Lepisosteus oculatus: one gene and its partner. The protein of the gene in region 2 purifies or fractionates together with the protein of the main gene of each other region. This does not show direct contact. Links are inferred from orthologs where the notes say so. Each region holds a gene or a part of one and is shown on either strand. Other genes may lie near its edges.

Region 1 (7,054 bases), on a different chromosome or scaffold from region 2:
TTCTCACCTGATGCAAGCAGGGCCAGCTGAGAGCATTCCCATGGGAGCGCAGAGTAACAGTAAGGTAAAGGGGGAAAAAAAACAGCGAGTTAATTTCCTACCAATTTCCAACCAAAACAATGAATTACATGGACGCTTTATACAAGTGTCACTGCTTCCCTGCTGATACCCATTAGTAGCAAAAGAAACATGCTTAAAATACAACAGCCACATGGTTGATGGGAGTTTCTGGAAGTGATCTTTTTAATAATAATAATAATAATAATAATAATGTTTCTTTATTAGCCCCATTCAATTTCTTGCATTAGGAAATCTTCTTTTCGCATACCCCAGCTTTTCTCCAAGGAGACACAGACACACAGACAGGGAGAGAAGCTTGGGGTCAGAGCGCAGGGTCAGCCATTGTACGGCGCCCCTGAAGCAGTTGGGGTGAAGGGCCTTGCTCAGGAGTAGCAGGAGTAGGATTCCTCTGCCGGCCACGGGATTTGAACCGGCAACCTTCCAGTCACAGGCGCAGATCCTTAGCCACAGAGCCACGGCTCCGCCCATCTTGACCATCATGCCTTGAAAGCTGTCTTCTAGACATTATCAGCAAAGAAGAAAGCCCACAACTAACTAATCTGCTGTCACGACAATTTCTAACGTGTAGCTCACCCTGTGCTTACAACGGAATAGCCCATGCCAATAATTCTAAATGTGCCTCTTCATTCACAAATTGACACAGGACCACACCTGTCCCACCCCCACATCGCACTGACACCCCTGTCTGCGGCTCTGCCCCACCCCCCCCCCCCCGTTAGCACATGGAATTCTGGGAAACAGGTACACGGATCCACGCACACACACCAGAACAGGTGTCCACAGAGACTGATGACCGCGTCCTTGGCTGTGTCCAGGCAGATGTTGCACTCAAACGTGCTGTCCTGGTTACTCCCCTCTCCGGTGGTGCAGCCGGTGCTGGCACTGTCCGTGGAGCCAGAGGCCGTAGGGCCCGCGCTGGCCATCTCCGGCTGTAGTCAAGGGAACGGCGGACAGGAAAAGCTAGCCCTCTGTTGCTGGCTCCTAGAGAAAGCACAGGACAGCGTTTGAGATCTGTTACAAGTATACCGCGAGGCACTGAAAACACAACAAATGCTGCTTCTTCCAACACTCATTTGTTGCACTTTATTGCCTTTTAGTATATTTATCCACAGAGCTTAATAAGAATTCCTTGTATCTATATAGCAATTTTCATTATAAAGTACATCAAAGCGCTTATTAACACAGAGGAAGATGGCTAATATTCAGGACAATGAACTGCAAAGAACAGTGCACAAATATAAGATGCAGTGTCAGAAAACTGGTTAATACAGTAGCTGAACAACTAAACAGTGGACAGAAAATGACTACAATACCAGGACGAATCGTAGCCATGTCAAATCATTTTACAAGGAAGGGCTTCTGCACTTAGGAGAGAGATAGGCAGGTTATTTCAAAACACCATGTTCGCGTCCGAATACTGACACCGTCACAAGTGCAAAACAAAATCCAAGACATCTTTAAAAAAAGATCATACTATTAATTAATAACAGCGAGGAAAACCAGGAGACAGTTGTGATTTCACTGAAACCTTAACTGGAAGAAAAGTTAGTCAAATATTAATGCTTCATCTCTGAATTCCAGCCATGTTAGCATACATTGTATTTAAAAAAAAATACCGTAATTGTAGAGATCTTAGCTATTTAATTCGGAGTATTCTTATATCCGAATTATGTTTATTATATCGATCAAATCCACAAAGTAGTTCAGCAAGTACACTCCAGACAACGACTGCCGGATGTAGTTATTTCTCGTGGAAACCGTGGAAAAATGCTGTCCTTTCAGAATCGGAGGTCCCTTCGTGAAAAGGTGAGTTAGGTGATCGTGTACACCAAGAATAAAAGTCTCTCAACATAACAAAGCATATCAAGTCTCAGCTTGCTCCGCAAATCCCGAGTACTTACTGGACGATTATCTAGACCAGAGCCACCCGTCCAGATTTAGTAACAGCCTGGTGACACCGTCACGAACAGGATCGCACCGACTGGGTCTGAAGGAAAACCCTGACCCCGCACCAGGGGCCAATGGCAAGGAGACAGGTTATCACTGACCCAGGTGCTGCAACAGACCCGCAATACCCCCCCGCCGCCTCACTGCAACAGTTAGATCCGTGTTTCAGGTGAACAGCTCAGCAAATCGTGTCCCACAGAAGCTCAGAAGCATGGTGTAAAGCCCTTGTCGACAACCCGAGCGCGACCCCAGCCGGAGCGACAGACGGCGACAGGCGCAGGGAGACGAGTCCCGGAGGGCCTCACGCAACCCCGGCGCAAAACTGACTCACGCAAAGACGCACGACTGGCGACACAATAGTGCACTCTTACACGAAACCGGTGTCAAAGCCAACTCCCCGTCGTGGGCTTGTGCTAGGACACGGGTCAGGGCCGTTTCATTCTTGTATGCGTCAACGACGTCGGGTTATAAGCAGTGCCGGAGGTACTCGGGGAATGTCTTGGAAGACACCCCCCCCGTGTTTTCACTACTTGTCGTGGCTCGGATCGGCTCGGCGTCCGCGCCGATCGCCCCGAAAACAACAAAACCGTCACGGCACACCGCCTGACCTCTCCTCGGTTTCTCGAGTTTTCCTCTCGCTGCTGCTGCTCCTGCTCCTGGGTCCGTCTGTCTGGTTGGATCCCCTGCTGCCCCGACTCCGACAGCACCCGGAAGCACACGCGCAGGAACGCGACAGCGTGACCCGAGCGAGAGCCGCGAGCCGCGCCGGGACGGACTCGATCTATTTATCGCGTCCCTGGCAAGGAGGGCCGCCGTAGAGAAAACCGACAGACTCAAACGAAACACGTCTGAGGTGTAGCCGAACTATCTGGCGCCGCATTTCTGTTTCCGCCCACTTTAAGAGACGCCGCGGCATGCATTTCGTTTCTTGGGCGAGCCTGTTTCGGGGCCCACTATTGCCAAAAAAACATCCGTCATCATATATTAAGGCTTGTAAGACCCCTGTCTTTACCAAGCAAGTACAGGTACACCGTGTATTGTGGGTCTGATGGTTAAACGAGAGGCCAAGACCCGTGTTGGTTCGGGTTTTGTCTGAAAAGGCGAGAGCAGTGCCCCCTGGCGGTGTCTCGGCGGTTTTACTGGTGAAGCCGATGCCAGGTGAAGAGTGGAGACGCGGGCACGTCGTGGTAACAAGAAGGGGCAAAAGCTAAACACGCGTTTTAGATTGTCCTCACGGACGCGGAATATTCTCAATCTAAAATACAGAACTTTTATAACAGAGAATGGGACGCGTCCGTTTTTATACGGTGGGAGAAAACAAGAGACAAAAAAGGTCATGTCAGAAGTGGGATTCGAACCCACGCCTCCATTCGGAGACCAGAATACCCGCCCGGGGAAGGAGTCGCTCCTTGAGTCTGGCGCCTTAGACCACTCGGCCATCCTGACACTGACTCTCTCTGCCTCTAAACAGGGTTATATGTTTCCATCTGTCCTGTAAATTAATGTACATTCATTTGCGATTAATCGCGCAATGCGTTACATTCACTTCTGCAAATTAATCGATTTACATGTTGCAGGACAGCTGTTTGCCTGGTAAAGAATGAGACATTAAAACGTAACGCAGTAATTACTTAAACCCGTAAAAAATGGATGCATTACATTTTGTAATGTTAATTTTCGTTATTTTTCATTTTTAACAGCTCGATTCAAGTATTAATGTGTCAACGCACGGACGAAAGTTAATGATGTACAGGTAGAACCATCATTTTTTGTAATAGTTGCAGAACATTTCTTATGGAGTTAATTTTTAATTTAAAATAAAAAATCCAAATATTCATATTTTCTCCAAAAATAACAACAACAACAACAACAACAAAATTTAATTTGTTGTTCTGGCACAACATTTCACTATTTAGAAATGACCACAAGAGAGTGCTCTTGTGATCCTTTCTTGTGACAGATCAGAGAACACAATCAGAACCACCACAACCACCACCATAATAATAATAATAATAATCGAGTGGAATGGGTCAAAAAGAGGCCATGCATCTTTCACGATTTAAACTGGAAAGGAAGATGAATAAACAAGCAAAAATAAACGCAGTAAATTATTACACGGTCTTGCACAAGGATTTCATGGCAACATCCGTGCGTCCCCTGCTCACATTTTGCATTGACAGCTTTTGATGATCCAGGAATGGAAAATTAACTTTCACCCTACTGTGAAGCAGTGTCCAGTTGACTTCCCGGAGCATGGCGATTATGTAACGGATAAACAGAAGCTCTGCTCCTTCCCAGAGAAATTGCTGGTCCGACCCGAACACATGCCAAGCCTCCGCACCTCCATTATTCATCAAGGGAGCTAGTTGACGAATGTCCGGGATGCAGTATTCAGAAGGTTAGATCCATTTTCAATACAGCACGTAAATAACTTATGACAAGCCACGGCGATCCTATTGTTCATTCACACCGTATACACCTTATACTCCTTACATCGGCGGGAGTCAAACATCACCTCCCCCTTCTGTCTCGATGCCAGGCATGACTAAAACAATGTGTGCCTGCACTACAATGAGGTGTGAGGAATGTTATACAGCTGTGCAGGCCTGACGGCTGTCAGGGTGGTTAATACAGCTCATGGATCTTGCTGTGCCCTGTTTTTATCAGGTCCCCCAAACAAATACAATAGATTTTTAGGTTTTACTCTAAATAATTATTTGAAAGGGGACTTCAGACTAGAGTTGGTTGCGATTTTGTCCCTCTACAGTCAGTACTATTAATATGAGATTATGAAGAAACAGAACCAAATGAGTTTAGTGGGCTTAATGGCCTGCTCTCATTTGTGGGCTTGATAATGTTCTGATGGACACATGAATTCAGACATGACAGGTACCTGTTGTCTTCTGCCTCAGAAACCTTCCATCAAAGCATCTTTCTGTCTAAAACATGTTCACTTATTTATCATGCTTATGCCCCTATGAAACCAAGGAGATCAGGAACAAAACCAATTTTTTTCTGGTTTGTCCCAGATTCTGGGTACTAAGTACCCACAAAAAGGATGAAAAGATCACATTGTCCTGATATAGTTCCAGCAGCTGGCTGCGTCAGCATGCATAGGCTGCAAAGGAACAAGTAAAAGTTTATTACATTCTGAAAAGAGAAGAAAGGAAACACAACGTTTCGGCTGTGGAGCCTTCATCGTTATAACAATGTTCCTTTATATTGTCCTGATATATGAATTTGATCCCCTATTTTCTTTATATCTGCAGGGTCCTCTTCATTTTTGCAAAACGCGGGGCGTTCTTTTTAACTTGTCTGGATTATTATTAATCATTGTTTGCAGCAGTTATGTTTTAACGGTTTCCTGATATTTTCATGTTCTGCATTCCGCACAGCGTGGTCCATGACTCAGCAGGAGTCTGTCTGAAATTAAATGAACAAGAACCTGCATAAAGTTTTTGGGTGTCAATGATACGGGGGAATGTTTTAAATCACGTTCTGGACTTTAGAGATTTCTGGAAATAAAATAATCACATTTAAGTATAATTGTGACTTTATTTAATGAATTAATGGACTGGTCTGGCTGTGGTGGTACTACGGATTCTGTTTGGTGCTCCATTTCCCAACCAAAAGAAAGAATTCAAAGGACCCTTATCTTATCTGCCCATGCAGGGTTGGTTATGTTAGAAACCACATAATAAACCAGGTAAGGAACTGTATCTCCTGCCTTCCCTCATGTTTTACTTTCTCAAAGGAAAACATATCTTATTAGAAGCACAAGAATGACTCGGCATTCCTGGTAAAGGCTATGGCTTCAAGCTGTGTTGGAAGTAACACCAATTCATATTTGTGAAAAACCGTTCTGACATTTTTCTGATAAAAAAAGAGTTTAATATAATGGTGGTTATTCTTTTGATTACAAATGAGGTGTAACTGTGTTCCATTGAAGCCTTGAAGTCGTTTATAACAATGGCCTGTTTACCTGCATGCTGAGCTACAAAAACCTGTCTGCATAGGAAGCTGCAAAATGTCAGATTGTGTTTGGAAAATCATCCATCCATTTATAGTAAAAATGTTATCCTTAGAGGGGTGTAGTGAGTTAATGGCTAACCTACTGTAGCTCATTATTCACCTTTTCCATAGCGGAAAATGTGTCAATCTATGTCACATATTTGCAGAATAGCAATGGTTAATTGTTGTTTGGACTCCCATCCTGATCCTGCATTTCTTTTATTTCTGTATCCTGTGGTTTTAGAAACATCCAATCATGAGAAAAATGAGATCTTAGGTTTTGTAGTTTACATATGTTTAAATATATAAAGCCAAAACACTTCTTCAGTATTGTTGCCCCAGAAATGTTTTTTTTTGCACCCCTGCTTTTAATGTTGAACTAACGTAAATGACCTATTCTTGCTTATCATGGTAAAAAAACATGGGCAGTGTCCATTTGGATACACTCACCTCTGGCATTAAGCCGCAAGAATGCAGTCCATCAAGACATACTGGAAGTATTCCTAGTTTCTATGCAAATAACACTGCAGACATCAAGAGCACTGAGAGCACTACATTGGCTTAAAGAGACTTTAGCTTATTTTCCCCAGCCATATAGTTAGGGTCCCAATTGTATTTATAGAGTATTCTAATGATCTATAATTCTATTATTTAGCCTCAATGGCTCCCCCTGCCTTTCCCTGTTTGACCTGGAACTTTTTGAAGCTTTAAAAACGTTTTCACTAGGACGCAAGAGCCGCAGTGCTGATGAACTGTAAACTCTTTTTTCAGTCCAAAACTAAAAAAAAAAACAGACTGAGAACTGAAGGGAAAAGTAGGGAGCTGTTCTCAGTTACTAAGATTGACTGCAAAAAATAGATGTAAAAACTCATTTATGTTACTAAAATTAGTGTACGGTATTAACAAAAACTCTCGTATCACCTTACAATGATTTTAAATATATCATAAACGTCACGGGATTTGTAATAGGGTTGTTTTTCTTCCATCTAGAAACACGTGTTCTTGTTAGGGCAGT
Region 2 (7,808 bases):
TTGCAAGTAGCTTATTAACCCAAAGATCTTGTACAGCCATTTCTTGACAGAGCTCCAGACATAAAAGAAGTTAGTCTAGCCAGCTGGGTCTAATAGAGCAATATACATGTTTTCGAAATTCATGTTACCATCGGCTTTTATTTCCAAGTGTCTTCATCGATGATCTTACAAAGACAAATTGATATAGATTGTAATCATAGCAAATTTTCTTTGTATCTACAATGAAGAGCCCAGAGCACATCCAAGAGATAAAATGACACAGTAATTCAAGTGTTGATATCTCTTAAGTAGAAAGAGGGGGTACATTTAATTGGTATAAAATGCTGTATTGATGAGTAATCGACATAAACAACAGCAAAAACCTACTCAGGTCAAAATGAAGATTCATAGCAACCTAATGCAAAGGGATCTCTTGTTAGTAAGATTGCTAAGAACTCCATCTCCCCCATGACCCTGGATTGGAATAAACGATAAGAATGGAGGTGAGCTTCCCTACCTTTTCAGCAGCCCAACGGTATCATCAGGCTTGACTACAGCCACCTCCTCTGTATCATTTAAGAATTTGAGGCGCACTTGGATCTGTCTGTCTTCGCTGTCTGCCCCACAGCTGCCGTTCTGGTTGCCCTCCTCCTCCAGCCTGGGCGCGGTGGGCTCACTGGTAGAAGCTGCCCTCTTTCTCAGCCCCTGGATATTCAGGAAGCTGTCTATGCTGGCATCGGCTGCCCCCTCCCCGGGCGAGACCGCGTCCGAGGACCCAGACTCGGAGCCGTGCTCATCTTCGTCCTCCGGTTTGTCCTCCACAATCGGTGAAGCAGGCTGGGGTTCACTGGAGTCCGAGACTGGGGGTCCCCCGATATACCCCTCTCTTCTACCGAGGCTCACCAAAGACGTATGGTTGGCAGTAGTGAGGATGGTGCCCAGGATGTGGTCGCCGCGGTCTGCCACGTATGTGGAGAGCCAGGCCAATACCAGTGCCAGGCCAAAAAGGACCACTCCTCCAACTACAGTCACTTCATTACCAACTGCTTCGAGTAGCATCATCCTCGACTGCCAACTCCCATTGAGCTCTGAGCACAAGGTAAAGCAAGCACAACATTAGAGGAGCAAAATGAAGAGCCCTGCATTGATCTTACATTTGTACCACAAAATAGGGCTCACACAGAGGCCTAGCCTACCCCTTTAGAAAACAGGCCACGTGTATATGAAATATTTAACGTGATCTTCCTGTGCAAAAGTTATACATTTCCTAATAACAGGGAAAAAAAGAAGTCAATTGGCTTGCTTGATTTCAGATCAGAAAAAAAACATGATACGTTTTTTTTTCTCAATTATGATTAACACGAGGCAGAACAGCAACACACTTCAAAGATTAACACATATTCAGTAGGATTTCATTTGTTTCACATTTTACAATACAATGACCCTGCTGGATTTTAGACGGCATTCAAGCGCTCTAATCGAACATCATATACTTAATGAACGATGTATTCCCAACATACACGTAGTCCAGTACATTGACCTCCACGATATATATGTCACGTTTAAACACTTTTTTTGCGCGTTTTCTTGTCATTATTAATTAGGATTGACCATCTATGGTATTAAAAACCAATGCATTAAAATATTTCGTTTACGTACAGATTCAATGTGAAGTTAGCAATCATCCGGCTGCGCTTTCCATAGGCTCAAATTATTCAACTTCGACGTTTTGTATGAGAATGTCGACTTTCTAAAGGAAGCGGGTTAAAATAGCAAAACACTGCTTACCAAAATAAACGTTTATATGGTACATAATCATGCTGCAACCACAAAACAATTCTCGTGATAAAAGTAAAATATATACAGTACCATCATGGGTCCTGCACACGATCAGCTACTGAAAAACTGACTGTAAACAGATGAGTTAGTTTGCAAGTTAGAATATAGCAAATTGTTACACTGCGAAGAACCATTTTGTAGCAAAAATCAAAATAGTTTAATTGGGAATACCTACTTACATTTAAATGCGGAAATAACTGTAAACATTATCCTCTTTCAGTCTATCTTCCTCTAAGTAGAAATGTCAACATTAGCTGCGACCTTCGACCAGACGTAATTTTTACAAGCTACAAACAGACAAAGACTGTTACCTAGCCGTTGCCGCACCTTGCTAATTCAACTATAGATATATTTAAACAGATAAAGCATTACCTTTTTAAAATTTTCTTCCAAACTATTTTAATCTGGTCAGCCACCAGCAAATTTACGAAACGCTCACTCCCAGTCCACACACAAACACAAAATGTGCCTACGTCAGACACGGCACATATTGGCTACGTCACGCAGTTCAAGAGGGACACAGATCCCGTAAACCTTAATAATGTTTTTTTGCCTGAACTCGAGAGGTTGTGAAAACCAGATGAATAATATTGACAGTATTTTAAAGGTCACGTTCTTTTACAATACCGTATGTAGTAACAATGTTTAGATGTTTGTCGATTGTGATTTTTTTTTTTACCTCGGTCATGATCGTTAATGATGAATATGTGCATATTCATCCATTCAAGATCTGTGAGACAACAGCGCCATCCGATACATTATGTTTAAGGTTTTGTAGTTCTTGCTACTGTATGTGGAAGATAGAAGATCATTTACCGGGGTTAATGGTGATAATGCTTTAACATATAAATACACATCTTTTGAGGAACACCATTCCGAAATTATTTTAGTGAAAGTAAAGAAAATGTGAAAATGCAAGACAAACTGGTCTCCAAGCACTTTTTCACTTTACTCCAGCTCAGAGTACAGTTGTCCAATTGTAAATTTGCTTCTATACAATATGTACTTTTATTATTTGGTGAGACCAAATTTGCATTGGCATGACTGCAAGTTAATTTAAACACATACATTATAATTATAATAGTTATTTGCATTTGTGTAGCACTTAACTGTAGTTAGAACTTTATAAAAAGCCAGTTGATTTTTTCACATACTGTAAAAAAGAGGACCCTATTTCGTTTATGGCTGCATGTCTGTATTCCCGGAGACGTGCATGTGAAAGATCTCTATTACAACATAATACTTTTCTGTTAATCTCAATGCACTTAAATAACTGTTGTGTGTATAAGATTCATAGGGGCACATTTTTTATTACATTTTTCTCTTCATAACTGTGGACAATTTAAGCAAGCTATTATAAAACAGATTGTACAGCCTATAACAACTGTCAACAATAATTGTGCTGCAATTTGTGCACTCTAGATAAGGCCCTTAGGGACAATGCTCTGTTTCACAGCTGAGCAAAAACTGTGCTTTTACATGTGGAACCTGCTTGGTGATCTGCAGTATTTTACTACATCTACTGAAATTTAAAACACCCTGGTGAACAGATTGTACAAACGTCTTCTTAAGAATGTGTCAAGAGTGTCCCTGAGCTGCCTGGCAAGGTGTTAATCAGCTTTATCCTCTCTCAGAGTTATACCACAGGGCCTGTTTGTCATGCTGCTCTGAGCCACTGTGTGACTCTGTGCTGCAACACAGATGGTCAACCCTAGGCTACCCAGTTTTCACACCAGTGTAGTTATGGAGGGGGGTGGAGGGGGGGGGGGGGGAGATGTCTAGGCCTGGAACCATACCTGACCAGCTTGTTTAGCAGCCAGTCCCTCCTCCACAGCATAACCTAACAGTGTGGACATGCCTGTACTTGAAACCACACCACTAATCATATACTGATGTCCTATCCACATTCCCTTGTCAACTTTCACAGGAGGAGATTCTGGCATTCAGTAGAATACATTATTAAATATGGGCCTGCCAAAAGATATCCCTTCTGATCAAATATATGAAAGCCCTCTTTTGGCTCTAAATGCTGTCTGAGCATCACTTGCAGTTCCAGCATGCAACGACACGGATGTTTTGATAATTATTTTAAACCTGTGATCCAGCATGTGATCTTGTCGCAAAAGTAATTGGAGACATGAAGACAGACTTAGATCTAATCAACTGATTCTTAAAATTTCAAGGAGGAAGATGTCATAAATTCTCTAGCGGTGTGCCAGCCATTAAGTCAGGCATCCTTCCGTGCTGAGCAAGAGGTAGCACTTGAGGGCCTCGGGCAGGGGCAGCTGGGTAATGACAGAGTGGCAGCGATCTCCCAGGTGATGGCGCAAGGCACAGCGTGCCAGGTGTTGCAGTCGACGGGGCTGGTTGGTCATCTGGACAACTGACTCATAAAACGTTTGGTGTTCCTGAGAGGAGGAGAGAGAGCATGCCGATCAATGATTAGACAATAAGGGCTATGCAGTGGTTTAGTAATGCTGCCTCTGCTGTCTCGCAGTGTTGGGGCTCTGGGTTCAATTCCAGACCTGGGGTGCTATCTGCGTGGAGTTTGAGTGTTTGCATGAGTTTCCTCTGGGTGCTCCAGTTTCCTCCCACAGTCTGTAATGGTACGTCAATTGGCTCCTGGGAAAATTTGCACTGGTGTGAGTGTGTGTGCCTATGTTTATGCCTACTGGCTTCCTGTCCAGGATGTACCCCACCTTGCACCCACTGCTGAGCTGGGATAGACTCTGGCTCCCTGTGATCCTGAATTTGGAAAAGAGGTTACATATGGATGGATGGAATAAGAAATACATCTAAAAAATCCAGTGAGGCTTCTTGAAATGTAATGTTAGTGTAGTGATGTAGCCATCTCAGCAAGAAATTGAGAGGAATTTACTGCCTCTCTATTTTAATCACCTGTTCACTTTTATGAGTTGAGAGTCTAATATTGAGAACCTGTGATAGAAACTAGGAAGTTGTGTTTCTAAGGTTTGTGGCAAGTTATGCTGTTTAGTTGGAATGTAATGATTAATGTTTGTTTTGTTTACTATAAATACTGTATTTTTTACAGGGTACAGGGCAAGATCTCAGAGCAGCTTCCCAATGACAATGGAAAAAAAAACTTTTTTAATTTTCTAAACATTTTCAAATTCTTTAATTGTGAAAAAAAAAAACAATATGAACCTGCCAGACTTGTGGTGGAACACTCTCAATCCAAGAATGACACAGTGGGACACTGTCATATGAGTTCAAGATCACTTCCATGGTCAACGGCGACATGGCACACAATTTCAGCATCTAAAGTGACAAAAGCAATACTTTATCGTACTTGCATGAGGCAGACATTGTGTTAGTTTTTTTAAAATGCTGAAAAAATATCACCATTTTCAGAAATACTGTGCTCTTTTCACAGACAACAGCAACATAATATAAAAGAAATCCAGAAGCTAAAATGTATGCATATTTCACTGGTGATTTCAAAGAAGAAAGACTAGAAGAAAGGAAGAGGTGCTAAGTACGAGCGTTTTCAGGAAAGAAATAAGATGCACAGTCAGTGAAGGAAGCTGCTTCACGGGATCCTTTGAGAAACAGCTAAATGGGTGGCTTGAGTCAATAATGAACAAAAGACAAATACGTTTCTAGTTTTTCGTGTTATTTAGGAATAATGCACTTATGTGGTTTTAATCCAGGAAAAATGTTTGCAGATCTCATGCTCAGCATTGGCGTCTCTACCTGACCTTTGGGTGCACTGGCTGTGCCCCGTGATTGAGCAGCGAGCGGACAATGCCCTCTGGTTGGTTGTCCAAATAGTCTTCTACTACCTGCAATGAAGCACAGCATGAATAAACCATGAGAAATGACCACTGCTGAGAAATGTGTAGACAGCATTATTGATTGATCAGTGCCATACAACAGGCAAAATTCATTTTAGTAATAAAGGTCCGTACCTAGATGAGTGGAAAAGTTACCCAGAGAACATACATTGGGGTTCAGAACCAGTTATTTCATTTTGCAAAATAGAAAGCTTTTTATATTTCTAATTTTTCACATCTAACATGGTTATACTGTATATACATTAGAACGTTCTTTCCTTAGCAGAAAGCTACTCTTATTAGAACTAGCAAGGGCCTCACCCCAAAGCACATGACTTCTCTCCCCTGTCTGGTGACACCAGATCTTCACTGGGCCATGAGGGAATGGGCAATTTAGAAAAGCCAAATCAACCCAGGCAGCAAGTCTTGCAGAGGGGGGTGCAAACTAGAACACCCTGTGAGAAGACCGATGACATGCCAACTCCTCAAGGACACCTGAATCCAGACTCTGGAGCTGGAAGGCAGCAGCGGTAACCACCACACCAACAAGATTCCCGATTAACTTTCAAATTGGAATAATATACAAATATATATTCATTTACTGAATCGTTTTTCATTGTCACATCACATTAGCCAAGTGTGACATGAATTCTCCAATCTGTGGTGTAATATATCAAGTGCCAGGCTAGAGCTGCCAAACTTCAAAAGCTGCAGCGACAACAGTGAGACACGTGCAGTTTCTCTAACCAGTGCTTACTCTGCAAGACACAGTGGCACGCGCAGCTTGTCCAATGATGTGTGGCCAAAACAGTGGGCATTTCAATGGAGTTTGTGCACGGGTTCTTGTTGACCCTGGACAGGTTCAGAGGTTGCTGTAGTGAGCAGATGGGATTTACAGATGGCAGTTCCAAACTGGGTGGGTGTGTAAGAACAAAACTGCAGTTCTAAACTGAGAAAAAGATTATTCAATGCTTTAATGTTCCATTCTATATTCCATAAACAATTTTGATAATTAAGAGTGGAATTGTTCTTTAAAGAGTTGAAAACTACTATCCAATAACAACAATTTCTTATGCGCCAGTATACTTACCACACACAACCTCTCAGTGGGGAGGAAGCCAAGTCAGAGACGGGGATTATTAGGAGGCCATGATTGAAAAAGGCCAGGGGGAAATTTGGCCAGGACAACAGGGTAACAACCCTATTCTTTTCGAGAAACGCCCTGGGATTTTTAATGACGACAGAGAGTCAGGACCTCAGTTCTATGTGTCATCTGAAGGACAGCGCATTTTTACAGTATAGTGTACTGGGGCATTAGGACCCACACAGACCGCAGGGTGAGCGCCCCCTGCTGGCCCCACTAACACCTCTTCCAGCAAGAACCTTAGAACCTTAGCAAGAACCTTAGCTCACACCTGCTGAGCTCCAGTGGGCTGCCAGTTGTACGTTGCAGGGTGATATAGCTGCTGGCTATCTGTTTGAAATATCTTCATGTTGTTCCCGGCCATTCTCAATATATTTTGTTTTGTTTCTCAAAAAAGCCCTGCTCTTTACCCACTTGTAACAAGCAGTCCATGGGTGTGTAGCCAGCGCAGTTGGCGAGGTTGACAGCAGCTCCGTGCTCCAGCAGCAGATCTGTGATCCGGTAGCTGCAGTTGGCGCAAGCATTGTGCAGCGGGGTGTGCTGCTTCCTGCCCGCCACCCTGGGGTCACCCCCGCAGCCCAGCAGCCGCTGGACCACGCGGTAGTAGCGTCCGCCCTCAGAGGGCCGCTCGGCGCCCGCGCAGGCCGCGTTGAGCGCCGTCTCCCCCTCGCGGTTACGGGCGCAGACGTCCGCTCCGTGGCAGAGGTAGAGTGCCAGGTGCTCCTCCAGCCCGCTCCTAGCTGACACGTGAAGAGGAGTGACCTGGCTGTCTCTGGCTCGAATGTTCACTGTGGCCCCGTACTCCACAAGGAGCTTGGCACACCTGAGAGAGAGCAAGGATGGAAGTCAGTCAAGAGCCCTTTCCCCAGCTTTAGAAAAGTCGGGTCGCCATCAGAATATGGGAGAGGCAGGCCCGATTGAGCCATGGCTTGAGCCATGAAACACGGTTTTTCGAACATATTGATTCCCAATTTGATCTTAACTTAAACTAGCGAATCGTATCATGTAACACTTGTTGCTTCACTAACGTCAGCCTGGACAGATTTGTATTT

The links. Proteins that work in one complex are often made in the same cells at the same time.
Region 1: the proteins of tmub2 (region 2) and rnf185 purify together in Homo sapiens (affinity purification with western blotting; 3 studies listed by BioGRID and IntAct, with this or other methods). This does not show direct contact. The link is inferred for Lepisosteus oculatus from reciprocal best matches to the Homo sapiens genes TMUB2 and RNF185.

The regions. Positions count from the first base shown.
Region 1 is NC_090717.1:6,587,400-6,594,453, reverse strand, and holds the start of rnf185 (E3 ubiquitin-protein ligase RNF185), read right to left. Parts: upstream 3,022-7,054; 5' UTR 2,637-3,021; intron 2,610-2,636; exon of another isoform or gene 2,400-2,609; intron 2,381-2,399; exon of another isoform or gene 2,082-2,380; 5' UTR 1,983-2,081; intron 1,964-1,982; exon of another isoform or gene 1,698-1,963; intron 1,063-1,697; 5' UTR 1,005-1,062; coding exon 847-1,004; intron 27-846; coding exon 8-26; intron 1-7. UniProt on the Homo sapiens protein: E3 ubiquitin-protein ligase that regulates selective mitochondrial autophagy by mediating 'Lys-63'-linked polyubiquitination of BNIP1.
Region 2 is NC_090723.1:3,091,190-3,098,997, reverse strand, and holds the start of tmub2 (transmembrane and ubiquitin-like domain-containing protein 2), read right to left. Parts: upstream 3,017-7,808; 5' UTR 2,191-3,016; intron 2,184-2,190; exon of another isoform or gene 1,998-2,183; intron 1,988-1,997; exon of another isoform or gene 1,849-1,987; intron 1,730-1,848; exon of another isoform or gene 1,639-1,729; intron 1,068-1,638; 5' UTR 1,042-1,067; coding exon 497-1,041; intron 1-496. Other genes in the region: asb16 (ankyrin repeat and SOCS box protein 16), read right to left, coding at 4,041-4,226, 4,984-5,097, 5,538-5,621, 7,171-7,579.